7 linked regions of the Rattus norvegicus genome follow. The protein of the gene in region 3 interacts with the protein of the main gene of each other region in a biochemical or structural test. Links are inferred from orthologs where the notes say so. Each region holds a gene or a part of one and is shown on either strand. Other genes may lie near its edges.

Region 1 (4,103 bases), on a different chromosome or scaffold from region 3:
TCTCTGTCTCTGTGTTTCTCTCTGTGTCTCTCTCTGTCTCTGTCTCTGTGTCTCTCTATCTGTCTCTGTCTGTCTCTGTCTGTCTCTCTCTGTCTCTCTCTGTCTTTCTCTCTGTCTCTGTCTCTGTGTCTCTGTCTCTCTCTGTCTCTCTGTCTCTCTCTGTCTTTCTCTCTGTCTCTGTCTCTCTCTGTCTCTGTGTCTCTCTCTGTGTCTCTCTGTGTCTCTCTGTCTCTCTGTCTCTCTCTGTCTCTCTCTGTCTCTCTCTCTGTCTCTCTCTGTCTCTCTGTCTCTCTCTGTCTCTCTCTCTCGTCAGAAATGAAAGAGCCACTACAGCTTCCTTAGGAAACCTTCCTAGAATTTAAAACAGAATATGAATCTTGAAGTTTGCCCGACCATATTAATGCTGCAAACACGGCAAGTGCGGTGCGGAGTGACGGGGACATGTCTGTTGACATGGCCCAGGAATCTTGTTACAGCTTCACCTCGGAAACGGAGCAGGGCTTTCTTTAAGCCTGTTTTGGAGAACCTTAGCATGTATCTCACTCAGACATCTGTCTTTTATTATCAAGGGGCACCAACAGCCAGATGACAGCAGCCGGGTTTTCTCGGTGCCTGGAAAGTCAGACCCTTGCTCTTCAGTCTTCCCATCTTAACTCAGTGATCTGCCTCATTGATAAACAGCTTTTCCCACATCAGTTAGTCCTTCTTAGATGCATGTCCTTTTCATAATAATGTTCAGGAAAATACCTAAAACCTGTGGTACCCATGCAGAACTCATGTTAAATGTTTTCTGACTGACACTGCAGCATGCCAATTTATGAATAAAATTACGATGTCTGCTTTTTCAGGTCACTTAATACACACTAACAAATTGTCCTGCCTAGGGCCTGGGCGTGTGCATGTGTGTCTGTGTGTGTGCGTGCGCGCATGCGTGTGTGCGTGTGTGCATGCATGCGTGTGTGTGCGTGTGCATGTGTGTGCGTGTGCATATATGTGTGTGTGTCTGTGCGTGTGTGTGCATGTGTGTGCGTGTGTGTATATGCATGTGTGCGTGCGTGCGCGTGCGTGCGTGTGTGTGCGTGTGTGTGTGTGTGTGTGTGCGCGCACGCGCGCTCCATTAAGGAATGCTACTTCTTCCTAATTATGGGGAACTTCCATTTCTGTATTCAACATCTTTTAAGTTACTAAGGATCTCAAGTTTTCTTGTAAACTGTGTATTGGCATAATCTTGGACACGGGACTTTAGTATTTTTTTTTACTTTGACCTATAAAAGCTGGCTGTTCTTAGAAGCGCTCCCAACCCCTGACCCTGCCTGCTCTGTGAGCTTGCAGATGAAAACAAACTTTGGTCACCCAGAGCTGCGGTCAAGGTTCACACTGCAGCGCCAGGGAGCCACCAGCCTGCAGCAGCAAGTAGACTGCTCCAAACATAGCAGGCACTGAAGATGAAAATTCCGATCCATCCCCCAAAAAGTCCGGGCTTTAATACCCTGTGTGCGCTGTTCTGCAGGCTTGAATGAGTGAGGAATCCCCTTGATAGGGAAAGCGGTAAGTCATTTAATAGCTCGGCCCTCGCTTGGCTTTTGATGCATCCTTTAAACATGCCCAGCCACCGGTCCATTCAACGCAAGGGTGAGACTGCAAAGCCAGCGACGAAAACCGTTCAAACAAAGCCATCGCAGAAAGCTTCGCGGCACAGAGATGAGGTTTTCTGATCGGTGTTGGCGAGGGGCGAAGCCGACCTCCCAACTTCACATTAGGGTGGAGCAGAACCCTACCGCCGCCCGCACAGCCAACTCTCCTTCTCGTGACCCCGAGCCGGCCCCGAGCGTCACCGCGGCCCCCTCTGCTGTCTGTGCTCACAGGGCGGGTCCCCTTCCCGGATCCCCGCACACAATGGCGCCCCGAACTCCCGCCGCCGGTCCCCGCGCCTGGCGCGCCGCCGGGTCCGCGCACAAAGGAGGGCGCGCGGGCCCCGAGCCGGCGCGCGCCAGGTGCTCCCGCGCGCCCCGCCGCCCGCCGCCCGCCCGGGCCGGGGACCCACCCGAAGACCGCGCCATGGCCACTTACTTTCTCGATGGTCCCGGGCAGCAAGCGCTCCAGCAGCCGGCATAGGACCACCCCGTCCTTGAGCGACGCCTGCAAGAAGACCTCCGGGTCCGAAATGGTTTTCTTGGGCGACTCCAGCACGCCCAGGGTGATGAGCCACGTAACGGTCTGCTCGGCAGAATTCATCGCTGCGGCGGCTCGGGCTGCGCGCACAGAGGGGGCGCCGCGCGCGATCACCTCGGAGCGGCCCGGGCCGCGGCCACCCGCGCCCCCGCCGCCTCCGCGCCCATGGGCGGCCGCGCGCCGGCGATTGGCCCGGCCGGCCCAGCAGGTCCCGCTCGGCTCCGCGGGCTCGCGCGCGCCCTGGCCCGCTGTCAAGTGCCTTTTCATTAGCGGCGCAGGAACCTGCGGGCGCCCGGCACCGCCCCCGCCGCCGCCCCCCGGCCGCGGCCGCCGTCGCCCGATGACATCACCGGAGAAGAAAGACGCGGCGGCCGCCCGCGCGCACCCCGCGCCAGCCCGGGCGCACGACAGCTGGCGCGCCCCCCGCTCACCTGCGCCGCCCGCGCGCCCCGGGGCTGCGCGCCTTTGTGGGTAGGGCGGCGCGCGATTAGTAAGCGCTTCCCAGAATGCTCTCTTGAGCTTGCCCGCCGACTGCGGGGCGCGGGCGTCTCTTCGCCACCTCGCCAGCCGGCGGGGATGGCACGCACATGCTCGTTAGATCTGTGACCAGATGGGTCTCACTCTGGCAGGAGCGAGCGTCGGGGACGCGGACGCGGTGCTGCGCCGCTGGGTGCAAGGCCACTGACGGCGGGGTGGGGGTGGGGTGGGGGTGGGGATGGGGGTACGGGGAGGAGCGGGGACGGGGGACGCGGGCGACCTCGGTAGCCAAAAGCCTTTCATGATTCCTCGTGAAATTGACGGTGACGTGTCCAGCGATCAAGAGCACACCGCAACCTCGGGTGGGTGTGCGTGGAAAGGGGGAGCAGCGTCTGCTGGAGAGCGTGCTGGCCACGCTTAGGCCCGGAACTTGGGCATCCTCTTCCAGCGCAAAGGATGTGACAGGAGCCTGGGGGTAGGTGGGAGCTCACCGTCAAACGATATGATATGGATTCCCATTTACTCCAGCCCATGGCCCTATGCTTTCCCTGCTGGCTGGCACTCCTCCATAGTTTAAAATAGAGCTTGCAATGTCCCAGGAGACCTTTCCCCTTGAGCCAGGCACTCACCCTGTAACTTCACAAGGCTAGAAGCCAGGCGATGCTGTCAGAAAAGGATCGCAGGTTCGACCCTCTCCTCTGTATTTTCCCAGGTGCATCCATCACCACCATCGATTGCACCTAATAGCATCTTCTGGCTAAGTGACTATGTTTCTGTTCCAGACCCAAACAAAGCATTAAAATGGTGTGATGTTTGTTGAGGGCCAGCTTCTCTGTGATGGCAGCGGCCTTCAGTGGAGTGCTGGCCAGCCCTAACCAAACACTGTTGTCATTTCGGTGTCTTTACCACCGACAGACCCAAGCCTCACTTTTTGTCCATTTTCCTCGTTACATATGACACAGACAACAACCCTGAGTCTGTCAACCAGAGCTGATCAACCCCGAAGAAACATTCCTTAGTGCTGAATTTGAAAATTAGCTCTCGGGCTGGAGAGATGGCTCAGCGGTTAAGAGCACTGACTGCTCTCCCAGAGGTCCTGAGTTCAATTCCCAGCAACCACATGGTGGCTCACAACCATCTGTAATAGGATGCTCTCTTCTGAAGTGTCTAAAGAGAACTACAGTGTACTAACATATAAATAAAATAAATAAGTCTTTAAAAAAAAGAAAAAAGAAAATTAACTCGTTACCAATTTTAAATCCTGTTAAACGAGGTAGGGCCTTAACATGCAGTACAAAAGATAGCTCCGTATATTGACCGTCAAGTGGCCCTAAGGAAGCCAGGTCGAAGCCGACTTAACAGACAGGAAGCTGGGAGCCAATGGTCAGAGTGGACCACTGACTACACCCACTCATTTTGGTAAAAAGCCCCTATGCTGCTAAATGATATAGCCT
Region 2 (4,239 bases), on a different chromosome or scaffold from region 3:
AGCATAGAAAGTAGTGCAAAAGAAAAAAAAATTCCAGTCTTAAGACCTGTGAACAAAACTTGTTACATTTCCTCCAGAACATTAGGCATTTGCTAGTATATCTCCCCAAAATTAATAACAAAATATAATCAATTTCTAAAGGCCCCTGCAGCCTTTTCAAAAGTTAATTTCCAGTTAAAAATAAACTTTAATTAAATCCAAGATTAAATTGTGACCTATATTCTATTAAATAATTTACTTTCTCTTTTTTCTACACAGTAATTCTTACAATTTCTAGAAAACAACTACAGAATCCAAAGACATAGGAGATGTTATTAAAACACTGGTAAAAGACTGCTCAAGTTCATTAGTTCTTACATAGTAAATACTTCAGAATGCCAACTTTTCCCATCACGGCACAATTCCCAACAATGTTGACAATTTACTTACACTCCCATGGCCACACACTCTCTCACTCTCTCACACACACTCACTCTCCTCGGGACCACCTTTACTATTAACATTTTCCCATTATGTGCAAAATTCTTGCATTCTATTAAAAAATATAAAGATAGATCTGCTGTTTTTAATGCCTCCCTCTTCTCCAAGATGCATCACTTATTTGATATGCAATACACGTTTCGCCACAATTATGCCATGTATCGCCATTAAGCAGTGTATTACTGTATGCAGTGCATATCTCATTTTCATAACTGCATTCTTTATGTATGAATATATTCGGAGCTGGGCGGGCGGCAGCGGCAGGTGGGGAAAGAGATTCACACATCAGTCTCCACAGCCTTTGCATTAGAACAGTTGTTTTTATCTGTCTCGCTGTCATCCCCCTTTCCCTGACACTTCTCTTCCTTTCCACATAAAGACTCCTTGACCCCTTCTTCCATCTCTAGATACTCTGACTTGTCCCCCAGGGAAGAAGAAGTAGAGCTCCGAAATTTCTTGAGCAAATTAGAAGGTAGGTATGGGCAACTGACTGCGTTTTGGGTCAGCTGGGTCTGTTCTTCGTTTTCAGTCTCTCTGTGGTAGAAATAGTTAAAGTTAGACACAATCACCGGCACGGGCAAAGCAATGGTTAAGACACCCGCAATGGCACACAGGGACCCCACAATCTTTCCTCCCACTGTGATGGGCTTCATGTCCCCGTAGCCCACAGTTGTCATGGTTACCACAGCCCACCAAAACGCATCTGGAATGCTTTGGAAATGGGTGGTAGGTTCATCTGCCTCTGCAAAATACACAGCGCTGGAAAAGAGGATGACCCCGATGAAGAGGAAAAAGATAAGAAGGCCCAGTTCACGCATGCTGGCTCTTAGGGTGTGGCCCAGGATCTGCAGGCCCTTGGAGTGTCTGGAGAGCTTGAAGATCCGGAACACTCGGACCAGACGGATGATCCTGAGGATGGCAAAGGACATAGCCTGCTGCTGCTGGCCGTTGCCACCCCCCTGCTGCTGGGCCAGATCGGTGCCCAGAGTGATGAAGTAAGGCAAAATGGAGACGATATCAATGATGTTCATGATGTTTTTGAAGAAGAGTGCTTGACTGGGACAAGCAAAGCATCGAACCACAAACTCAAAGGAAAACCACACGATACATACTGTCTCCACAATGAAGAAAGGGTCATTGAATATTGTGTGCCCTGAGTTCTCCAGGTGGGGTGCCGAGGTGTCATTCAATAATCTGCTGTGTCCACCTGCGCTGAGGGCCATGATGAGGTCCCTATCATCCCTGAACTCAGGCAAGGTTTCCAGGCAAAATATGACAATAGAGATTAAGATGACCAGGACAGATACGATGGCTATGCCCCTGGCAGGGCTGGAACTCTCGGGATATTCAAAGAGAAGCCAAATCTGTTTTTTAAATTCATTTTCTGGCAGAGCCCTGTCCTCCTCTTCTCTCACAAAGCCCTCATCCTCACGGAACTTGAGCAGGGCTTCCTCTCCCAACTGATAGAACTTCACCTCCTCAGTGAAGATATCAAAGGGGACATTGACTGGCCTCTTCAGGCGGCCTCCTGACTGGTAATAATACAAAATGGCATCAAAGCTGGGACGGTTCCTATCAAAAAAATACTCATTGCGCAAAGGGTCGAAGTACTGAGTCCTCTTCTCAGGGTCTCCCAACAGAGTTTCTGGAAACTGAGCCAAAGTTTTCATTTGGGTTTCGAAGCGTAGACCAGACACATTTATTACCACGCGTTCACAACAGTCACTGTAGCGGACTGAACTGTAGCCGCCGCCACCCCCATCATCCTGTGGCAGTAGGTCAGTGTAGGAACACCCATCCCCATGGTCCTCTTCACTATAGTAAAACCTTCCCTCCTCTTCCTCCTCCTCTTCCTCCTCCTCGTCTTCCTCCTCCTCGCTCAGCTCCCTAAGGATCTTCTCTTCAGAGCCACTGGGCATCAGGTCTGAGCAATGAGGAAAACTGCTCTGCCTGTGGTGGAGTTTCTTCTTCTCAGTTCGCTGTCGCCTCCTCCTCCGACTACCTCGGCTTCCTTGAGGATCATGGGAGGAGTAGGCCCCACGTGTCTGATGATGATGGTGGGGGCCTCCACCAGAACCTCCAGTGCCTTCCACCGCAGCCGTGGCAGCTGCAACAGCAGCAGCTGCAGCTGCCCTGGAGTGAGCAAGTCTCTCCCTCTCTCGAGCCCTGGCCTGGGCAGCATAACCATAAGGCATGTGGCTGTTGCACCCTGAGCTCTCGGCACTCACCATTGCCACCTCCATGGTGGTAGTTTGGGGAAATGGCTGGTTCCAGTTGTAAGAGAAGAAGAAAGAAAAATAGGGCAGCTTATTTTCTTACCAAATTAAGGTAAGTTTGGAAGCCTTAAGCAGATTGCTTAGAAGACTTGGGATATTTTCAGTCCAACTTTGCATTTTCTGTTTTTAAATCAGCACACCCCATGCTCCCTCTTCTCAGAGACTCAGCATTGCTTTCCAGAGCTTGCTTAGTCTAGACAACAGCCTAGTGCTCCTCAAACATAAGTCATGAAGTGATGTGGTCTCCCAAACACCTACGTTTTGGGGGGTAGGTGTTCAAATCTGGAAGTCTGTCTGGGATGCGGTCTGATGATGACGCTACAAGACTCAAAGGCAGCAAGAATCTGACAGTCAGAAGTTGTGCCTAGAAAATGAAATATTTTTTTTTCTTGTATGGAAATTGTCCAAAGCCAAGTCCATCTAATTTAAATAAAATGCAAATAAGTCTTTAGTCTTAGCACTTGCCTTCTAGTGATAGCTTGACCCATGTTAAAATGTGGCTTAAAATATGCCCAGCCATTGCTGCTCAGTCTATGAGGATGGTCTCCCAGACCTTCCCTCTAAGGTCATCAAAGCCTTCACGGAACCACAGACAATGGCAGGTTGTAGATAAAGACCTTGAAAGGTAGAGAAGGTGGTAGATGGGGTTCCAGCAGGGGCAAACTCAACACTGAGGTATCCATAGAAAGCAGGAAGTGAAGAGCCTCCTTTGGCTAGAATCATTCAGAAGGAGCACTTCACCTGAAAAGGGATGGGAGATAAGCAAAGGAGAAAAATAAAAAAGAATCAAACCATAGAGAGCAAACAGCCCTTTACTCCGAATACACTTCTCTTGTCCTCAGGCAAATCATGAAACACACACCAGGAGAGCATAACTTTTCAAGAGTACAGGGCGGGCTGCTCTAAAATCTTTCCCACTCAACATCCACCTGTCTTCTTCGGCCATTGCTTCCGATCAGTCAATTTTGTGGCAACTCATTTGTTTCGATCCTGTCCGTTCTCAGCCCACACGATTCTCGCTTTCCTCTGCCCCTTCACCAATGCCAGCTCCTAATTCTTAATAGCTTCCTCCTCCTTCCACAACAGCAATGCTCTGACTTTACAGCTGTTTCCAGTATTCATTGATCTCAAGGGATTCTCTTTAAATTTCAGTCGTGAAATGCTGCTGAATTAAGTACCCTTACATTTTTCTTTTTCTTGGGATTAAAGAAGTGAGGGAAAAAACAGCTTTCTTCAGTTTAAACTCCACTACTTAAATGGATATCAATTACCTAATCTATAAAATGTAGACAGTATAACCCATCCCCTTTACCCCACATTGGGAAAGGATCAATGGAGATCATGGATGCTAGAGCACACTGTCAATGTACACAATGAATGGCAACAAATAAGGCAGTTATGAATAATACAGCATTAAACTAGGCTGTCATCTGTCTACCCACTCCCAAAATCCACATTCTTTGCTGCTGTCTGACATAGGGGA
Region 3 (4,298 bases):
AATAAGAAATCTCTTTTCAGACCGTTGCTGCATTTTAAACAAGACTCCAAAAAATATTTGACTTGAAAATAGTATAAAACCTAAAACTCACTAAGCTAATTTGATGCTAAATTTACCCAACTTTAACTGCAAAATAAATGCCTTGTTGAGGAAAAAGGGGGAATCAAAGGTTCACAAAGGTGGAACCTCACATTTTCAACATGTCAAAAAGCTAAACATACTACTCTTTCAAAAATAACCTACTTCTTTAAAGGGTGGGTGTGTTAAGTAGGCATTTTCAAGTGACATGATACTTTATACAAAACAGAATGACACAAAAACATCTTTGCAAAGTGTTCATTCTCTAAAAGACTTGCTCTATTAAGGCTCTGAGGCTGAAGCCAAGTAGAAGCCATAAAAGGAAAGCGAAGTTCAATGTCATTTATTTTGTTCCCCTCTTTCATGTGCTCAAGAATAACCTCTTTCGCTGCCTAATTATATGTCCCCAAATCATAAAGTTCACCAGTTATGCACTTTAAACTCCTTCATAAAGCAGTCTGACTTTTAACAGGAATAACTTGATGGTTCACAAATCTCACCAATAAAATAAAAATGAAAACAAAAACTCCAGAGACCAGGCCCTAATAACACAACAACATAAATACTGGAAACAATTCTCTTTTTGAAATGTACTTAATAAAAGCCAAATAGCCAAGAACAAGTTGTGAACTCACTTGATCCTGATCTATAAAACCTATCTTTCCTCTTTCAACTAAAGGAAGTCAACTCTTTCCCCTCAAGTTTCTGGTAATTATTTTGGTAATATCTGATTAAACATCAATTTAAGCTTAAGCTACATCTACCTATAGTTAATATTTATTTAAAACACAGTATTATCTGTCACTTCCCTTACCACAAAAGCACTTGGGGGGAAGAGGGGAAGCAAACAAACTACACTTACAAAGGCACACAATTGAAGCACTACTAAGGGAAAAGACAGTAGGGTAGACTGCAACCAAAACTAGTTTTACCCATAAAGAAGGTTTCATTGGTTCAGAAGCGTTCCTAAGTCTGACTGGTGGAATGTCTGCCATGCTTCACGAATTCCTGCCCGCACAGTCTGTACCTATCACTTATTAGGCAGAACCAAACAAAACCAGATGGGCCAACACGAAAAAATATGAGGACCATACATCTGCAAAACAGCGCCACTTTTTCGCACAATGTGACTCTCCTGAAAATCTTAAGGATTTTATTTCTCTTCCCTTCCAATGTTGTTCCTAATCGGAACGGCATACAAGTCCTGACTAATCAACTTCTTGCAGGTGTTTGGGTTTTGTTTTGGTTTGGTAGCCATATCCTTCTCCGTCTCTATCCATACTCTTTACGACATTCTGCTTCCTAGAACGCCAGTTTCAAGAAAAATTTAGCAGCTGCTCGTCCTCAATCAGGTAACCAAACAAGCACTGTAAGCTACGGACTGAAAAGAAGGCATGACTTACTACAAGTAGTTCCTTGGCCGTCCAGAAAAAGCAATCGAGAATGGCAGGCAGGCAGTTTCTTAAGTCCAAAGAAAAAGACGTGCCTTAAAACGACCTCCATGTAGGATTAACGCGAAAACCAAAACAATCCACACCAACATAAACAAATGTGGCAGCCATCTCAGTGAGAGCGAATCAGTCTCTCCCCGCAGCGAGACTTAACTTTCTTCCGAAACAAAAGTTGCCAGACTCAGCAACTTGATATACATTGTATACGTCCCGGAACACTAAAACTTCTGGCCCTTATGCTCAACAAAGGAACTCTTTCTTCCGACGGCTGAAAAACTTTTCGTCCCACCACATTCTTACAACCCCATCTTAAAAAGAAAGGAATCCAGACGGTAGACGGGGCAAGGGGGTAAATCAGTTTTACTATTCAGTTGCTAAAACGACAAGGCATTCCGACCAGGGAGAAAGAAGTCAGACAACTCGGGCAGAGCGAGGTAGACTAAAGTACCGTCGCTTCCGGCCCACGAACTTGGCTGGACGCTTCCCGTAAAAAAAAAATTACCTCTCCGGGTGTCTCAGGGCAGCCGTCCCGAGGCTCGGCTTGACATGGTTTCCTGCCCTTCCTCAGTGGCTCCGGGCCCCGCCGAGGCTCCCGCGAGGACTAGGCGGATGTGGAGCTGCCGCCCGCAGCAGCGCGGCTGCTTCGGTGGGGGCTGGGGTGCGGGCTGGCTTCCTGCTTGCGACTTCTGTCAGGAGTTTCCCAGCCTCGTCTAGGTTCTCCGCCGAAGGAAAAAACTTTTCACTCGTGACACCGCCCGGAATTGCCGTGCGAAACTCACTTCCTGCCTGGGTGAAAAGCAGGATCCAGCTCGGTGCCCGGGAACCCGGAACCCCGGGGCGGCGCGCCGCCGAGGGGGAGGGGACGGCGCCCGCCCCGAGCCGCGGGACCTTGCGCGGCCCACGGGGGCGAGGACGCGGAGCTCCGCTGGCCTGGGCCGCACTAGGCCTCCGCCCCCACAGCCGCGCCGCGCGGGTATTGTCTCGAGTGCGCCGGCCGCACCCTGCGCCCGTCCGGCCCCCGCCGCCCCGAGCCGGAGCCGACCGGCCGCGCAGGCTGGAAGGCGACCGTCGGTCGGGCAGTCCGACCGGCCGGCCCGGTCTCTGCCACTCCCGCTCTAACCCTCCAGTCTCCCCGCCGCAGTCCCTGCGCTCTCCCCGGTTCTCCTTCCCCGCAGCCGCGGTGGCGCGGTCTCCTCAGGAGCTCGCGGGCCCGCGCCAGGGGCCGAGGCTGCGTCGCGCGCCGCCGCGCCACCTTCACTCGAGCGGGAGACGGAGAGGGGAGGCGAGGCGGAGGAGAGAAAGGAGGAGGCGGACCCGGGCCGGACCGGGGTGGAGGGAGTTTCTGCCTCACAGGCCGCGGCGGCAACAGCGCCACCGCCCCGGCGGCTAGGGGGCCGAGGCTGCGCGCGGCGGCGGCGGCGGCGGCGGCGGGGGCGGCGGCGGCGGCGGGGGCGGGGCGGCCTCCCGCGGGGGCGCCCCAACCGCCCACAGCCGGGCGAAGGCCGGCGCGAGCCAGTCAGCGCGCACGGGGTCTACGCGCCCGACGTCGGCGGCGGGGGGCGCGGGCCGGGGGCCGCGGGCTGGCTGGGAGGCGCGCGACGGGAGGCCCGCCCCCCGAGGCCGGGCCCGCCGAGCTCCCCCGTACGACCCCGCGAGGCCTCCGCCGCCCCGGCCGATCGAGTTTCTTTGTACGATCGTAATTGGTGCAAAGAGGTTGTTCAAGTGCAGCCCCGATTTCCAGGCAGCAGGTATCTCTTTCAGCCGCAGCACTCCGACATCCTCTAATGGCACGCTCAGGTTGCAGGAAACCACGGCCGCGGCTCCGTGCAGCTTCTTTCCACGCCGGGCCGGCCTCCGAGCTTGCTGGAAGCGGCGACGCGCCTGGGGCCCCTCCGAGGAGACAAAGCTGGTGCTGGGAAGGGGAGCGGGGCCCGCGAAATTGCCTCAAGACGGTGCCTTTGTTAGAGGAAACATTGGATGCACTCCGAGCGCTGCGCAGCCTTCCAGCCCCTACGCTTTCGGGCGTGCAGTCGTTCAGTCGCGCTGGCCCTGGTAGTTCTGCCTGGCAGGGTTTGCGTTTATTGCAGAGAGAGACTTAAGCATTCTGTCAACACATATGGCTTAGAAAGCTTCAACCATAACATTGCCGTTTTTACAGTTACTGCTTTAAGTATGTTAGCAGACAGAACATCCTTGTTTTACCCGAGGGAATGGAATAGATTCTGGGCAAACCATCGTCCACCCCCACTCTTCTGTATTAACTATGCACAGGGATGGTAATTAGCCTCTGGGTCCTTCAAGCCACTGGTTCAGTACTTCCGTCTGTAGCCCAGAGATAATTATTCATCACCAACTTTGAATAAAAAGCTATATGCCTTACAGATGAGTTTTGGCTTGCATCCAAGGGAATGAGTTCACGAAGTCCACCAAAGAATTATTTACTAAAGTGAGTTCTACGCCAGAGACGAATACTTGGAATAACTCCAAAGATATTCAAGTCATTTTGAATCGAAGTGGAAGCATTTTAGCTACCCCCAAAACTGCTAGTATTAACACGAACATAAGATTCTTAGCACAGAGGACAGTGGTATCAGGCCTCTGAAAACATTTGACAACAGCCCTGGGAATGGCAGATCTAGTAATTTCAATTTGGGAATCTAACTTACACTGACAGGGATCTTAACCAGTGTGTATTTTTAAAAAAAGAACAAAACAATGTATTTGTACAGACCGTTTCATCGGACATGAGAAAGTCTTACACCATCTTCA
Region 4 (3,500 bases), on a different chromosome or scaffold from region 3:
AGAAATACTTAATCACTTGCCCACGTTACAGGACACTGGGGCCCTCAGACTGTGTTGGGGACCTCCATAAACCCACAGGTAGATCTTCCTCATCTTGCCTCAAATCAAGCCTTCAGGCCACCGCAGCAGCCTCTGCCGCCCTCCAGTGGTGGCAGAGTTAAGTTTAGAGTCTACTAGAACCTGGCGTAGGAATGGGGCTACCTGGAGATGGGTCACAGCCCCTAAACTCCAGGCATCAACACTTTGATCCCTCTGCCCTTGGTTGGCTGAAGTATTTTCATGCACCTTGTAACCCTGCCTGTGGGTGGCTGTTCCCATATCCCGAGCCTTCCTTAACATCCTCCTCTCTAGTACTCACCCTCATACCCTCAAATCGAGACAGTGCCCTCAGAGGTCGCAGGGCCCGGAGTGTGCGCAGGGATTTGATGGGCCCCAGCTCAGAGTAGCCCAGCCAGTTTGCCACCAGGCTGATGATGGAGACCTGGAAGAAGTGTGCGTTCAGGAGGTGGAGGGTCCCTGACTTTTTTCTACATATGAGAAGGGTGTCCCAGTTTCTGTGTCTCCTGTAGACCCCATCCCTGATAGATAATCTTGTCTGTTGGGAAGAGAAGGCTTGTGGCCTCTGGCACCCTTAGAGCCAGGGCTCACCTCAATGATGTCACCTACAACCATAAATGAGAAGGACGGTACCCATCTCCCATGCTTCCATGTGTCTATCAATAAGAATCTTGCACTGGCAGGGATCATAAGACCCAGGCCTGAACTGTCATGCTTGGGAAAGAAGAGGCTGGTCTACAGGGAGCAGTGCTGACCTGGATGGTCTGATGGATAGATTCAGATAGGCCCCCCCAAACCCCCCAGAGCCTGGGTTCTCTAAAGGCCATGACGTCCCGGCTCCGTGGCCGGACCCGGGGGACTCACGTCCACGATGAGGAAGTCGAGCCAGCACCAGGCATTGGTGAAATACACCTTGAAGCCGTAGGCGACCCACTTTAGCAACATCTCCAGGATGAAGATGTAGGTGAAGACCTTGTCGGCGTATTCCAGGATGGTGCGGATGACTCGTCGCTGTTCAATGTAGATGTCTTCGAAGGCCTGGGGACACCAGCACAAACCACGATGGCCAGGGGCTCGGCAGATGGGGCAGCAAGCGCTGCTCCCCATCCTGCCTGCTGTGGCTGGTTCCCAGGGGTCTTTCAGGGGTCGTAGGTTGTAGGGCCTCTGCGTATCTTCCATCTCCATCCCCATCACCAGGAGGGGCGAGACTCCTGGTAGGGAAGGAGTCTTCGTTCTCGACTATCTTCCGGGGGTCGACAATATAATGTGTCTTCAGTCCTGTCCACCCTTAACTTCAAATTCCCACCCACCTCCCGTTGGCTGAGGGGACAGGGTCCACGAAACAAAGGGCCCCGTCTTTTACTTTAAGAAAATGAATGCTGGGCTGGGGAGGTGCCTTATCTGTCCTGCAAATGCGAGAGCTGGAAGTTTGGGCTCCCAGAACCTATGTCAAAGCCAGGTGGCAGCAGCGGCCTGCCTGCAATGCCAGGCTTACAGTAGACAGAGACAGGAAATCCCCTCAAACAACCCAAACAGCAAGCTCCAGGTTCAGTGAGAAACCCTGTCTCAATGCAAAAGATGGAGAACAATTGAGAAAGACGCCTACCATCCACAACACACTCTCATGCGTGCGTGCGCACACACACACACACGCACACACACACACACACACACACGCACACAGACAGACAGACACACACAGAGACAGAGACATGCAGACAGACACACACACACCACACACACACACACACACACGCGCGCGCGCGCACACACACGCAAACACACACACACAGACAGACAGACACACACACACAGAGACAGAGACAGGCAGACAGACACACACACACAGAGACAGAGACAGAGACAGACAGACACACACACGCGCGCACACACACACACCACACACACACACGCGCGCACACACGCACACACGCACACACGCACACACACAGACAGACAGACACACACACAGAGACAGAGACAGGCAGACAGACACACACACAGAGACAGAGACAGAGACAGACAGACAGACACACACACACACACAGACACACACAGAGACAGAGACAGGCAGACAGACACACACACACGCACACACACACACACAGACACACACACCACACACACACACACGCACGCGCGCACACACACGCACGCGCACACACACACGCACACACACACACACAGACAGACAGACACACACACACAGAGACAGAGACAGACAGACAGACACACACACCACACACACACACACACACACACACAGGCAGACAGACACACACACACACAGAGAGACAGGCAGACAGACACACACAGAGACAGAGACAGAGACAGACAGACACACACAGAGACAGAGACAGAGACAGACAGACACACACACACAGAGACAGAGACACACACACACGCACACACACACACAGATGCGTCCCCTCCCCTTCAGATCCCCTGGGTTTGGACATGTCCGGTCTGTCTCCATCCTTGGTATGGAAGCCTTAGGGAGCAAGGCACCTACTCCTGCTCCCGCCCTGTCCCCTGGGGGAGGGTGCCTACCAGGGCTCCACTGCTGAGCAAGATCATGAAGACAATGAAGGTCTCAAACCAGTTGTGCTCAACAATCTTGAAACAGGCCCTGCGCAGTGTCCACCACATTTTCCCACGGCCCTGGGAGATGTCCACATAGAGGCAGGGGCAGCGCTTCACACAGGCTGGGAGGCAGGGTGGTACATGTCACTGGCCTTTGGCTGTGTCAGAACACACCTCCCCACCCTCTGCCATGCTACCCAAGACTGGGGCCCCACCTCCTCCCCACAAGTGGCTGCATCTAGTTCACACAGGAGCTCAGGGGCTCTCCACAGCCCGTATGTCACTGCTGTTGAGACTGAGAAAAAGTGCTTCCCAAGCAAGCTCGGGACGTCAGCTATTCCCACGGGCCACCATCTCGACAAGCTTAGGCTCTTTGGCAAATGACTCTCTGGTTCAGGTGTGGGTTCCCCCGTCAAAGTGAGCAGAACTGTTTCTGTTGCTGGCCTCTGACCTGGGTGTGGGGCTGGTCTGTAGGTGTGATCTCACCTTCCGTGAAGCATTCCTCAGGCTGCTCCCCCTCGGGGTTCTCCTCAGCCTGCTCCTCGGGGTCCTCTTCAGGGGGCTTGTAGTCAGCTGTGCTGCAGACGGAGGAGTTCCCGTCGTAGAGGGGCTGTAGGGGCTTCTGTGGGAACCACAGGGCAGGTGACTCCTGGGTCCCACTCTCCCAATAGGTGGGGTAGTATGGGAGACCAGAGAGAAAGAAGAGAGCAGAGCAGGATCTACTCCTTCATTCGCTCATTAATTAATTAATTCATTCATTCGTTCATTCATTCATTCAGCCCTTACAAAACCACCACTGTGCCCTGGCAAAAGCACCCTAGTGACAAAAATGCCCTCAGCTCTGCCCTCCATGGCACTTA
Region 5 (3,500 bases), on a different chromosome or scaffold from region 3:
ATGTGGTCCAGAAGACTGTACGAGAGTTGGGCTTGAGGTTTCTACACTGGAGCTTTGTGCCACCCTTTGGTCTTGAGCCCCAAGGATTCTCCCTGTGGTCGGTGTCCCTGGCCCTGCCCACCTCAGGAGGAAATACTGAAGATTTCCCTCTGTTTCACCATCCCCTAATCACCTTTAGGAGCCTCCTAATGGAGGCTCAAATGTCTGAGTTCTGTCCCTCTGCCTAGGCCAAAAGTCAAGCAGGGCAGTAGGAGAGTGGAAGGGGTCCCAACCCCCGCCATTGTCCTCTCCCCTCCCAGTGATACCTTCAGCTCACAGTCCTCGTTCACAGCCAGGTTTCCAGGTTTCAAGTCCTGAGAGAAGAAAGTGGCCACTATGACCCACCTACCAGAGCAGGGCCCAGGCAACACTTTACTTGAGCCCCCAAAACTGGCCTGGCCCCTCTGGGGAAGGGCAGAGGGGCTAAGTCCCTGGGGAGAACTGGGGATTACAGGTATTTCCGCCACAGTCCTATCTTGCTCCTTACAGTTAAGCAATGGGCCCTGGGGTTGAGCACTTCTGTCTATACAGTTGGGAGGAGCAGGGGCAATCTCCCAGTCCCTCCAGAACTCACCCTGTGGATGACGCCGGCAGCGTGGATATACTGTGGAAAAGAGGGAGTTCAGCAGCCATCAGCTTGACTCCAAGACACAGAGACCTGCCCTGACCAACAGGAAGTTCTGCCCACTTCCCTATGGCCACCTCAGCAAAGCTCACCTTCAGCCCCTTCAGCATCTGATACACAAGAAACTGGATTCTGTCTTCACTCAGAGTCTCGTGCTTCATGAGCTTGCCCAGGTCAGTGCCCATGAATGGCATCACCAGGTAGCTGTGGAAGCAAGGGAGGCAGCCAAGGGATCAGGGCTAGTCCCACCAGGCCGGGCTGGGCCCAGTTCACAACTCTCGAGATCCCATCCTGGCAGGTGCCACCAAAGCAACTTCACTGTAGCACCCAGTCATCCCTAGCACTGAGGATCATACCATCCTACCATGTCTCTACCCCCACCGTGCCATGCTAGGCACCAACCCGCCCTCTGATCACACTTGTCCTTGGCAATTACATCTTCTCAACCCATGCCCACATCCCCTCATTCCAGAATGGCAAGCAGGGAGTGGGCTGTGTGTCAGGGCTATTTTGTTTGGGCTTGGGGGCTCTTTGTTTGTTTTTTTTTTTAACAAATGTTCATTTATTATATATGAGTACACTGTAGCTGTCTTCACATACACCAGAAGAGGGCATCGAATCTCTTTACAGATGGTTGTGAGCCACCATGTGGTTGCTGGGAATTGAACTCAGGACCTCTGGAAGAGTAGTCGGGTGCTCTTAACCGCTGAGCCATCTCTCCAGCCCGGGCTCTTTAAGGAAAGGTCTCACTTTGCAGTCCTGTCTGGTCTGAAACTCACTGTATAGACCAGAATGGCCTCAAACTCACAGAGAGCTACCTCTCTCTACCTCTGCCTTCTAAGTGTTGGAATTAAAGACTTGCACCTCTACACCCAACCTTGTCTTTTTATTTTTTTAAAGATTTATTTACTTATTTATTTATTATATATAAGTATATATGTATATATACATATATAAGTATATATATACATATATAAGTATATATGTGTGTATATATACATATATATATACATATATGTATTATATATAAGCTGTCTTCAGACACACCAGAAGAGGGCACCAGACCCCATTACAGATGGTTGTGAGCCACCATGTGGTCGCTGGGAATTGAACTCAGGACCTCTGGAAGAGCAGTCAGTGCTCTTAACCGCTGAGCCAGTTCTCCAGTCCCAGCAGTCAGTGCTCTTTTTCTTTTTCTTTTTTTTTTTTCTTTTCTTTTTTTCAGAGCTGGGGACCGAACCCAGGGCCTTGTGCTTGCTAGGCAAGCGCTCTACCTCTGAGCTAAATCCCCAACCCCTATAAGTACACTGTGGCTGTCTTCAGACACACCAGAAGAGGACATCGGATCTCATTACAGATGGTTGTGAGCCACCATGTGATAGCTGGGAATTGAACTCAGGACCTCTGGAAGAACAGTTAGTGCTCTTAACCGCTGAGCCATCTCTCCAGCCCTCTTTTTTTCTTTTTTCTTTTTCTTTTTTCTTTTTTCCGGAGCTGGGGACTGAACCCAGGGCCTTGCACTTGCTAGGCAAGCACTCCACCACTGAGCTAAATCCCTAACCCCTAGTCAGTGCTCTTAACCATTTCTCCAGCCCTTGCTTTTGTTTTTGGAGACGGGACCACATGCAGGCCAAAATGGCCTTGGAATGCTGACCCTCCCAGCTCTATCTCTCAAATGCTGGGGCTGCGAATGTGTGCACTGCCACACTCCCCCTCAGGGTTGTAAAATTCCTGACGTGGGGGGGGGGGGCATCGTACGCAGCAGGGTGAGCAGCTAGGGCTGCACCTGATGCTGGCACCTCAGATTACTTAGTCAGGTACTGTGAGGGCCCAAGTGTCAGGCTTGGAAGGAGACAGTTTGGTTTTACCAGGGTGTGCCAGTATCTAGGGGTACCAATAGTCCATAGGGTTGTGGCGAGAAGTGAACGAGCTCTACGCACCTCAGCCCTCACTTGAGAAGCCCTCGCCATGGGAAGGAAGAAGACCTCAAGCCAACGTAGAACCTGAAGCCAGTACCCAGAAGCTGCCTAGGCCCCTCCTACCACACATAGGGTGACCAGGAATCGGGGGCAGGGGTTGGAGCCGCAAGGTATCTAGGTCACAGGGATGTTCAGGTGAACGGAGGGATAGACAAGGGAAAATGGTATTATCACTCACACAAGTTCATGGCTCCCAGGAGCATATAGGAATATGGAGTAGACTGTGGTAAGAGGAGTGGGTGAGCAGTGTGCACCCTATCCCTCACATGGGCTATGACCCCTTTGGGGGTCCCATATCGGACATCCTACACGACAATTCATATCAGTAGCAAAAGTTATGAAGTATCAACAAAACAATCTCATGGTTGGGGGTCACCAGGACATGAGGGACGCAGCATTAGGAAGGTTGAGAACCACTGGGCTCTGGGACGAAGGCCCTCAACCTGGCCCAGAACCTTAAGCTGACACTTAGAAGCCACCCAGGTTCCTGCCCCCCACCCAGCCACTAGCACTTACAAGTCTGTGAAGTCATCCAGAGTCTCATCGGGAGTGAACACATCCAGCAGCCCAATGACCTGCGGAACAAGTGGCAGACAGGATAGAAAGCACACAGGAGCTGCGAGGCCTCAGGGCACCCCCAGGGTGGCACTGTACTCCAGGCAGAAAACCCTCCCATAACTATCCTTGTCTCTTCCACTGTCCCCACTGTCGGCTCAGCCCCCATCCTGGTACATTTGCCCACAGACACAGGCTATTTTTGGATGCTGACAGCCGGGATTCTCTGGGGGAGGGAGGGGCAGTCTCAGGTCTGGGTTGGCTCCAGGCCTCTGAGCAATCCAGCTCCTTTAGTCTTCTGT
Region 6 (3,397 bases), on a different chromosome or scaffold from region 3:
AACCAAATGTTGAAAAGCATCAAAAATGATTACTGTACATACATGAGAGTATGGTCACAGAGAGTAAGTACCAAAGTTATTTGTCTGCAAAAACATGAAAGTTTACAAAGAGGAGATTGGGAAGTATTTTCCATTTGTACGGAGTTGCAAACAAAGGAATCAGCACTGGACGTGACTGCTGTGTGCTGCAGAGCAAAGGGCCAACAGGACAGCTGGGATCACCTTTTTGCAGAGCAGAAAGGTCAGTAAACCACACACCCAGGATTAGTCAAGAAGAGTGAAGTCCACTGCTAACTGCGGGCTAGAAATCTTGCTGAACGGCTTAGCTCACAATATTTAAAATTTTGAAACTAGGCAATATAACATTCTATTTATTATAAATTACAGACGATACACTTTAGGAACAGATGGCCCTATCTGCTGATGACACTTCAGCATCAGCTAACAAAGGTCTCTTCTGTGACAACCTGTAGTAAAGTGAGATGACGCCAAAAGCTGACTGCCTTTACAGAAAGATACTTTATTATCAGACTGGCGTTGGAAGAAGGAAACATACTGAGATGATTCTAGAATAGCCCTGAAAATAATTATACTGTCACCTGTGCACGTTTGAGACAAAAGTTAATCAATGGAACAACTGGTTATCATCTGCTGAAGTCTGGTTAGAAGACAAAAGGACTTACTGCTCACACAATCCTTTACTGGACTCAGAAGTAACTAACCCAGAAGCCATCAGTGCAACTATTTACCACAATGACATCATGCTGCACTGCTTTGAATCAGAACAGAAATGGCACAAAGAGCCTGGAAGTTTCCAACAAGGTTTCCTTCTAATGCAATTCAGCAGAAAATGATCACAGAAAGAATGCTAAGACCCACTGGACACATTAAGGTCAAGGACTTCCAAGTTAATCCACTTTTCTTCCCCCACGAGTTTATTTTTGGTAAAAGGCAGAAAAATTAGTTTCTACAAGGAAAATCTGCTTCTAAATGATAATTTGAAAATCTCGATATATATATTATATATTAAAAAAGACACAAAAATAACGGAGAAGTGGGAATAACAGATTAGGTACTGTAATTTTATAAAGGCTTGCCTAGACCAAGCAGCAGCACACACCTCATTTATGCACACTAAGAAGGTATACAAACAGCAGAGCACTGCAATACTGGGTCTGGACACATTACTGTACACAACTACTACTGGTATTAATAACCTTTGGGACACTGTCTTATGCCCAACGAGACATCATTAAGTCTTTAAGTCTTCTTTGTCCCCTCTGGGGAGGGCATTTCTAGACACTAATTTCCCATCTAAAATTCAAATGTAGGAAACAGACTCCACAAGGTGCTTTAACTGATGAGACCTCAAGTGCTGTTTTCGCTCTGGGTTTTGACTAGCACAGTCCACGGGATCACACACGAGTACTGTGGCGGAGGAGTTGGTACGTTAAGTCTTCCAATGAGCTCCACTGCTGACGGACTTTAGGACATGCTTGAGCATCGCACTGACGGGGATCCCATCTGAGTTAATACTTTGTCCAACCACTGCAGGGGGCCATTCAGATGAAGTTCAATCCAGCAAGGAGTACTTGTTACTGTCTGCCTCCTGTTTGAAAGAACACAAAAAGTTAGAAAATTAAAAGGCTATATATAATAAAATATTTTTTTAGAATAATTATTAGTTTTATATATAGTTATTAATTTTAAAATGGTTAATTTTTACTGCTAAAATGAACTAATGAGTTTTTCCTTTTTCAAGAATTTTCTTTTTTTTTTTTTTTTTTTTTTTGGTTCTTTTTTTTCGGAGCTGGGGACCGAACCCAGGGCCTTGCGCTTCCTAGGTAAGCGCTCTACCACTGAGCTAAATCCCCAGCCCCTAAGAATTTTATTTCTTTATGTGTGGTACATATGTATGTTTCTAGGTGCACGCAGAGGCCAGAAGGGAGTCGGATGTTTTCCTCAACTTCACTTTGTTTCCTTGAGTCAGGGTCACTCACTGAACCCGAAGCTCCCTATTCTGGCTAGACTGCCTGGCCAGCAAGCTCCCAGAGTCCATCTGTCCCCCAGCCTCAGGTCCTCAGTCCCAGCCACCCCATCCCACCCCATGCAGATGTTAGACACAGCTGTGTCCGGGTCTTGTGGATGCTGGAGCTTCATACTCAAGTCCTTGTAGTGGCCAACTTTTGAGATTTACCAACCAAGCTATCTCCCCAGAAGTCCACCTTTTTGAAAGATTTACAAACTATCCTTTCTCCTGAAGTTAAATGAGTCTACTGACACTGCTATTTACCTGCCACCTCAAATGGGACGCCTGTGAGAGGAAGGTACTTAATAATGAGGCCGGGACGAGAGACAAAAACCAGGAAAGATTGCCCCAAGGAAAATGACACATATGACCCCCTACTTTTATGTTATCAATGAAACCTACACCAGAACAAGGTTCAATTTTAAAGTCTGCTGACCCAATCTAAATCCTTACCACACAATGTTAAGATTTGAAGCTAAAGTTTCTCTAAGACTCACAACAAGCAACATCCTTGTCAGTAACACCCCTCAGGCTTCTACTTTAAAAAGTGAAATTAAAACCATCTAGGCTTTAACAAAGGGGGCACTGCCTACTCCCTGAATCTTATTTGCTACAAAGAGTTATCAATACATTTACTTTTGCTTCTTCAACATGACATTCTTCAATCATGGTCGAAGAACATTATCAGGTCTCCATCTTTAAACAATCCATGCCTGACAGCATTGAGGACTGGACAGCCATAGGGCTGAAGGCTCAGCAGGAGAGTATGCGATGCTCTGTTAGACCCAGGTTAGTGACCGGGACCCACATCTGGCAACTATAAACACCTGCAACTCCAGCTCCAGACAGCTACAACCCTTTCTGGATTTCACAGGCAATGCCATTCACACACGCACAGACACACACGCACAGACACACACGCACAGACACACACGCACAGACACACACGCACAGACACACACGCACAGACACACAGACACAGACACAGACACACACACACACACACACACACGATGATACACACATAATTAAAAGCACTGCAGGAGGGGTTGGGGATTTGGCTCAGTGGTAGAGCTCTTGCCTAGCAAGCGCAAGGCCCTGGGTTCGGTCCCCAGCTCCGATAAAAAGAAAAGAAAAAAAAAATAAGAAAAAAAAAAAAAAAGCACTGCAGGGGAGCTTAGTGTCCAAGCATGTATGTAGTGCTTTTTATCCCGTGGTATCAACTCAAGTAACCCCTGGGTCTTCGGGATGCTCTAGGCAACTTCCAAGCACAGGCACCTGCATGAGGGTTTCTGCCATGCTTGCATGTGTAGCAGGCTGGAGATCCCGTACACTCAGCAGACTGGGGTAAGGAGAAGCGAGACCACA
Region 7 (3,500 bases), on a different chromosome or scaffold from region 3:
GGAAGTGTTGTGGTTTGTTGACTGACTAATCAGAAGGTCCTCTAGGCCTGCCATTAGTGGTCAAAGATAACTAATCTGCATGGGTTCTAGAAAGTGAAGCTTCCACACAGCATCCTGAGGGCGTACAATGGGATGACTGTAACGATTTTCAGGCTTTCACTAGCTTCTGGAGTCAATCTGAAAGGATTTCACGAAAGGCTTACAGCCAATAGGAGGTCTGCCTCCTGTAAACCAGGAGCCAAAATGAGATTGATATTATGCATTTGAGAGCCACTGTCTGGGGGAAGTGTCACGACGACCAGTGTATCAGTGCATGGGCAGTCCAGAGGGGCTCGCACAGATGGAGGGGAGGGGCACCTAAGAAGTGCCAGGCCTCCCATTCTGAGAAAGCAGAAGTTGACTTTCCAACATGAATGCTTCAACATACTTCAGACGTGCGTCTTTGTATGCGTGTGGGTGGTGGGATAGTCTCTCTCCAGCAATGTTACTTAAATTATATGGATTTTTTTTTTTTTTTTTTGGTTTGTTGTTGTGGTTCCTGTTAATTTTATCTGTTCTGTTTTAACCAGAGGCCTTTGTGGGAGAAGTAACGGGTCCTAGCTAAGTCAGAGAAAGCAGGGAAACAAACTGGCATCTGCACACCGTCTTCAAGTAAACAGAGTCCCTGACGCACCCGGAGAGTGTACTTTTAAGGCAAGAGGAAGAAACAACCCACTGTGACAGCTTATAAAACGCACGGGCTTTGGCCCTAGAGTCTGTTAAGGCACAAAACCTGGTAGGCAGCTGTTGTCAGTGGCCTGCACCTCAGAACTGGATTTGTAAAGAACAGTAGGAACATTTAAATAAAACAACAGGCCATGTTGTTAGGACCTGAAGTCACAGGATAAGGTCGAAGGGGAAAGTCCAAAGACGCCGGTCTCTTGTCTGTGAAGGATCTGTTGCAGAATGAAAACCAGGAGTGCTGTAGTCTAAGAAGTGCGAGCCCCTTGTTGGGGCAGGGGACACCCTGGAAACAGACTTGACGTCCTGGTAGTAGTCACAATGCTGTTTCAAATATCGTTAAGGCGGAGGGCTGTCCGTTGGAGGTGCTCATAACCGCAGGGCTGCTGAATGCAATATCCGGATAATTCCGTCTGAAGTACACCTGTGGAAAAGAGGCAGGCGAAAAAAGGACATGAGTACATTTTCAAGCCTTCCTCTCGGAGGCAATGCTTGTCTGTCTCCATCCAGCAAATTAATCATAGCGTTCGATGAGGTAATCACTACACCCATTGAGGCGCAATTAGAAGTCCAGGCAAGCACACATCCCGTGAAACGGCGGAGAAAAACCCTCAGCGCGGCAGGGCTGAATGCCCAATGACTTGGAGATCCACTTTAGCTCTGATCACTTTGATTCACAGATACGTTTTTATCACGCCATTAAACCGATAAGCAAAATCATTTCACTGACTCAAATACTCAGAGATAAATTAAAAAACGGGAGGTGGGGGTAGGTGTGTGTGTGGGGTGTCACACAAAGAGGCCAGGCGCCTGTACTGAAGTTTCCCATTTTCGCGCATAAAATGAACACAATAGACCTGGATGCTAATATCAGCTTGTAATCCCTATATATTACAAACTCTGATTGACAAGCATTGAAACTCTGGCGTCTACGCGTGAAATATCCCGGCACTTAATTTGTGCAGCAAGGCCGTCGTAGGGCCTACAGAACCGCGATCTGTGGATAGCGGGGCCGCAATGAAAAGAGAAGCAAATGCTGTAACAATGACCCAGCCAGGCGACTTCTCTCAAATAGAAGATGACACCAAATAATAGGACGGCTCTTTGCCAGGCCTTTGAATTCCTGAATTCTGCCAATTCCAATAGCAGAGATACAGGCTCTCTGATAAACGTGTAATCAGAACATAAAGGACATGAAATGCTGTCAGGCTTCTCTGTTCCCCAATCGTCAGTTTTTAGCGGCTGTATCATATCTGGGTTCCCTGACAGATGCGTATTACAAAATGAAATAATGTCAGGACTTGTGAGCTCTTATCTCTAAATGTGTTTGCGTGAAAAAGGCCTTCAAATGCAATTTTTCCCCCCCTTCGGAGAAGAATGTGAAAAGTTTTGTTAGAGTCTTTAAAACAGAAAACGTAGCATCTCTCTGAGCTGACACAAGTCACGCACGAGTTGGGTCTCCCCCTCATGCTCCTCCCCCCGCCCCAGGCTGTGGGTTTATATACATGGGCGCTGTCAACAAAGTTGTCGGTGGGAATGATGGGCTTCCCAGGTAACAAGGTCACGGATGTCTACTTCCTTAGTAAGTATACCTCCCTTGGGTTGCTGGCAAACTTCTCCCTAAATACCACAGCACGGAAGATTCCTTTTACGAGAGAAATGTCACTGAAGAAGAAAGGTCCTATGGAACAGTCTGAGACGACCGCCATGAGCGCGCGCTTTCGAACACAGGATGAACTTGTTCTTTTTGGTGTGTCTGTGTACTCGAATGTCAATGTCATCTCCACCTACACTCTTAAGTCCAGCTCCAGAGGACCTGACGCCCTCTCCTGGATTCCGTGGGCACCGCGTGCACACGGCGCATACACATACACACAGGCAAGACGCCCATACATGTCAACTAAAATGGTCTTGGTTTTCCCGTCAGGGATGCTTTGCCGAGAACCATTTCAGGTGTATAAAAGCCCTGACTTGAATTTTTTCCTACCATGTTTATAACACATTCTGATAAAGGCATGATTGAGACTGGGCATCTTCTTTTAAATTTAATTTAACATTTTTTTAAGTTGGGGGAGACAGGGTTTCAAGGGTCTCAGGCTGGCCTTGAATTTATCTTAGACCTGGGAATGACCTTGAACTCCCAATACCTGCGCCCACCTCCAAATATTGGGATTATAGTCATGTACCACCATTGGAGTGTCTGTTAAAAACAGGGGTGCTGGGGAGTGAACCCAGTGGTTAATGCATTCCGGGCAAGACACTCTACCAGTTGTAGATTCCCAGTCTCACAGCATCTACATGAGATCAAGCCGAAAGATGGCTAACATTCTCTACTGGGCCATCAAGCCGCAGGCTGAGCCTAGGCTAAAAGGGACCAGTCTCCGTCTCTCTCTTCAACACCCAGCTGATGCTGCAACGTCTACTTAGCCTCCTTCCACACTGTCTGCCTCATCTGTAAAGACCAGATAACAAAGACTTACCTCATAGGAACTAATTAATGGCTACAAACTGCAGGCTGAAAACATGCTGGGCCAAGTGCTGGGTGTGTTACTGACAGTTGCTCAGAGGAACAGCTCCTCAGTGTGTGGAAAGCAAGGCTACAGATCGGAAACGTGAGGACAGTTGCGGCTTCCACTCTCTTAGGTGGGCCTCCTGACAGGATCTTTGCGGACTCCCAGGCCTGCGGTTGAGACACTGATAGTGGGGTTAATATGGTAGTCTAGGAGGCAGGATGGCAGGCTGAGATGCCTGGGGCTTGGGGTACCTGCTGGCTGGTAACT

Evidence for each region.
Region 1: the proteins of Erbin (region 3) and Arhgef7 interact in a test that uses a peptide from one of them, tested with the Homo sapiens proteins (2 studies listed by BioGRID and IntAct). The link is inferred for Rattus norvegicus from reciprocal best matches to the Homo sapiens genes ERBIN and ARHGEF7.
Region 2: the proteins of Erbin (region 3) and Kcna4 interact in a test that uses a peptide from one of them, tested with the Homo sapiens proteins (3 studies listed by BioGRID and IntAct, with this or other methods). The link is inferred for Rattus norvegicus from reciprocal best matches to the Homo sapiens genes ERBIN and KCNA4.
Region 4: the proteins of Erbin (region 3) and Scn4a interact in a test that uses a peptide from one of them, tested with the Homo sapiens proteins (2 studies listed by BioGRID and IntAct). The link is inferred for Rattus norvegicus from reciprocal best matches to the Homo sapiens genes ERBIN and SCN4A.
Region 5: the proteins of Erbin (region 3) and Mapk12 interact in a test that uses a peptide from one of them, tested with the Homo sapiens proteins (2 studies listed by BioGRID and IntAct). The link is inferred for Rattus norvegicus from reciprocal best matches to the Homo sapiens genes ERBIN and MAPK12.
Region 6: the proteins of Erbin (region 3) and Smad2 form a complex in vitro, tested with the Homo sapiens proteins (2 studies listed by BioGRID). The link is inferred for Rattus norvegicus from reciprocal best matches to the Homo sapiens genes ERBIN and SMAD2.
Region 7: the proteins of Erbin (region 3) and Abcc4 interact in a test that uses a peptide from one of them, tested with the Homo sapiens proteins (2 studies listed by BioGRID and IntAct). The link is inferred for Rattus norvegicus from reciprocal best matches to the Homo sapiens genes ERBIN and ABCC4.

The regions. Positions count from the first base shown.
Region 1 is NC_086034.1:84,481,960-84,486,062, forward strand, and holds the start of Arhgef7 (rho guanine nucleotide exchange factor 7), read right to left. Parts: upstream 2,801-4,103; 5' UTR 2,440-2,800; coding exon 2,071-2,439; intron 1,952-2,070; exon of another isoform or gene 1-1,951. UniProt on the Homo sapiens protein: Acts as a RAC1 guanine nucleotide exchange factor (GEF) and can induce membrane ruffling. Functions in cell migration, attachment and cell spreading. Promotes targeting of RAC1 to focal adhesions. May function as a positive regulator of apoptosis.
Region 2 is NC_086021.1:114,213,897-114,218,135, reverse strand, and holds the start of Kcna4 (potassium voltage-gated channel subfamily A member 4), read right to left. Parts: upstream 2,801-4,239; 5' UTR 2,724-2,800; coding exon 759-2,723; 3' UTR 1-758. UniProt on the Homo sapiens protein: Voltage-gated potassium channel that mediates transmembrane potassium transport in excitable membranes. Forms tetrameric potassium-selective channels through which potassium ions pass in accordance with their electrochemical gradient.
Region 3 is NC_086020.1:36,759,354-36,763,651, forward strand, and holds the start of Erbin (Erbb2 interacting protein), read right to left. Parts: upstream 2,801-4,298; 5' UTR 2,032-2,800; exon of another isoform or gene 1,482-2,031; intron 1-1,481. UniProt on the Homo sapiens protein: Acts as an adapter for the receptor ERBB2, in epithelia. By binding the unphosphorylated 'Tyr-1248' of receptor ERBB2, it may contribute to stabilize this unphosphorylated state.
Region 4 is NC_086028.1:91,754,825-91,758,324, forward strand, and holds part of Scn4a (sodium channel protein type 4 subunit alpha), read right to left. Parts: intron 3,263-3,500; coding exon 3,127-3,262; intron 2,763-3,126; coding exon 2,608-2,762; intron 1,096-2,607; coding exon 922-1,095; intron 482-921; coding exon 359-481; intron 1-358. UniProt on the Homo sapiens protein: Pore-forming subunit of Nav1.4, a voltage-gated sodium (Nav) channel that directly mediates the depolarizing phase of action potentials in excitable membranes.
Region 5 is NC_086025.1:122,089,808-122,093,307, forward strand, and holds part of Mapk12 (mitogen-activated protein kinase 12), read right to left. Parts: intron 3,219-3,500; coding exon 3,160-3,218; intron 869-3,159; coding exon 757-868; intron 644-756; coding exon 614-643; intron 354-613; coding exon 306-353; intron 1-305. UniProt on the Homo sapiens protein: Serine/threonine kinase which acts as an essential component of the MAP kinase signal transduction pathway.
Region 6 is NC_086036.1:72,184,344-72,187,740, reverse strand, and holds the end of Smad2 (mothers against decapentaplegic homolog 2), read right to left. Parts: intron 1,610-3,397; coding exon 1,486-1,609; 3' UTR 501-1,485; downstream 1-500. UniProt on the Homo sapiens protein: Receptor-regulated SMAD (R-SMAD) that is an intracellular signal transducer and transcriptional modulator activated by TGF-beta (transforming growth factor) and activin type 1 receptor kinases.
Region 7 is NC_086033.1:101,948,913-101,952,412, forward strand, and holds part of Abcc4 (ATP-binding cassette subfamily C member 4), read right to left. Parts: intron 1,145-3,500; coding exon 1,037-1,144; 3' UTR 1-1,036. UniProt on the Homo sapiens protein: ATP-dependent transporter of the ATP-binding cassette (ABC) family that actively extrudes physiological compounds and xenobiotics from cells.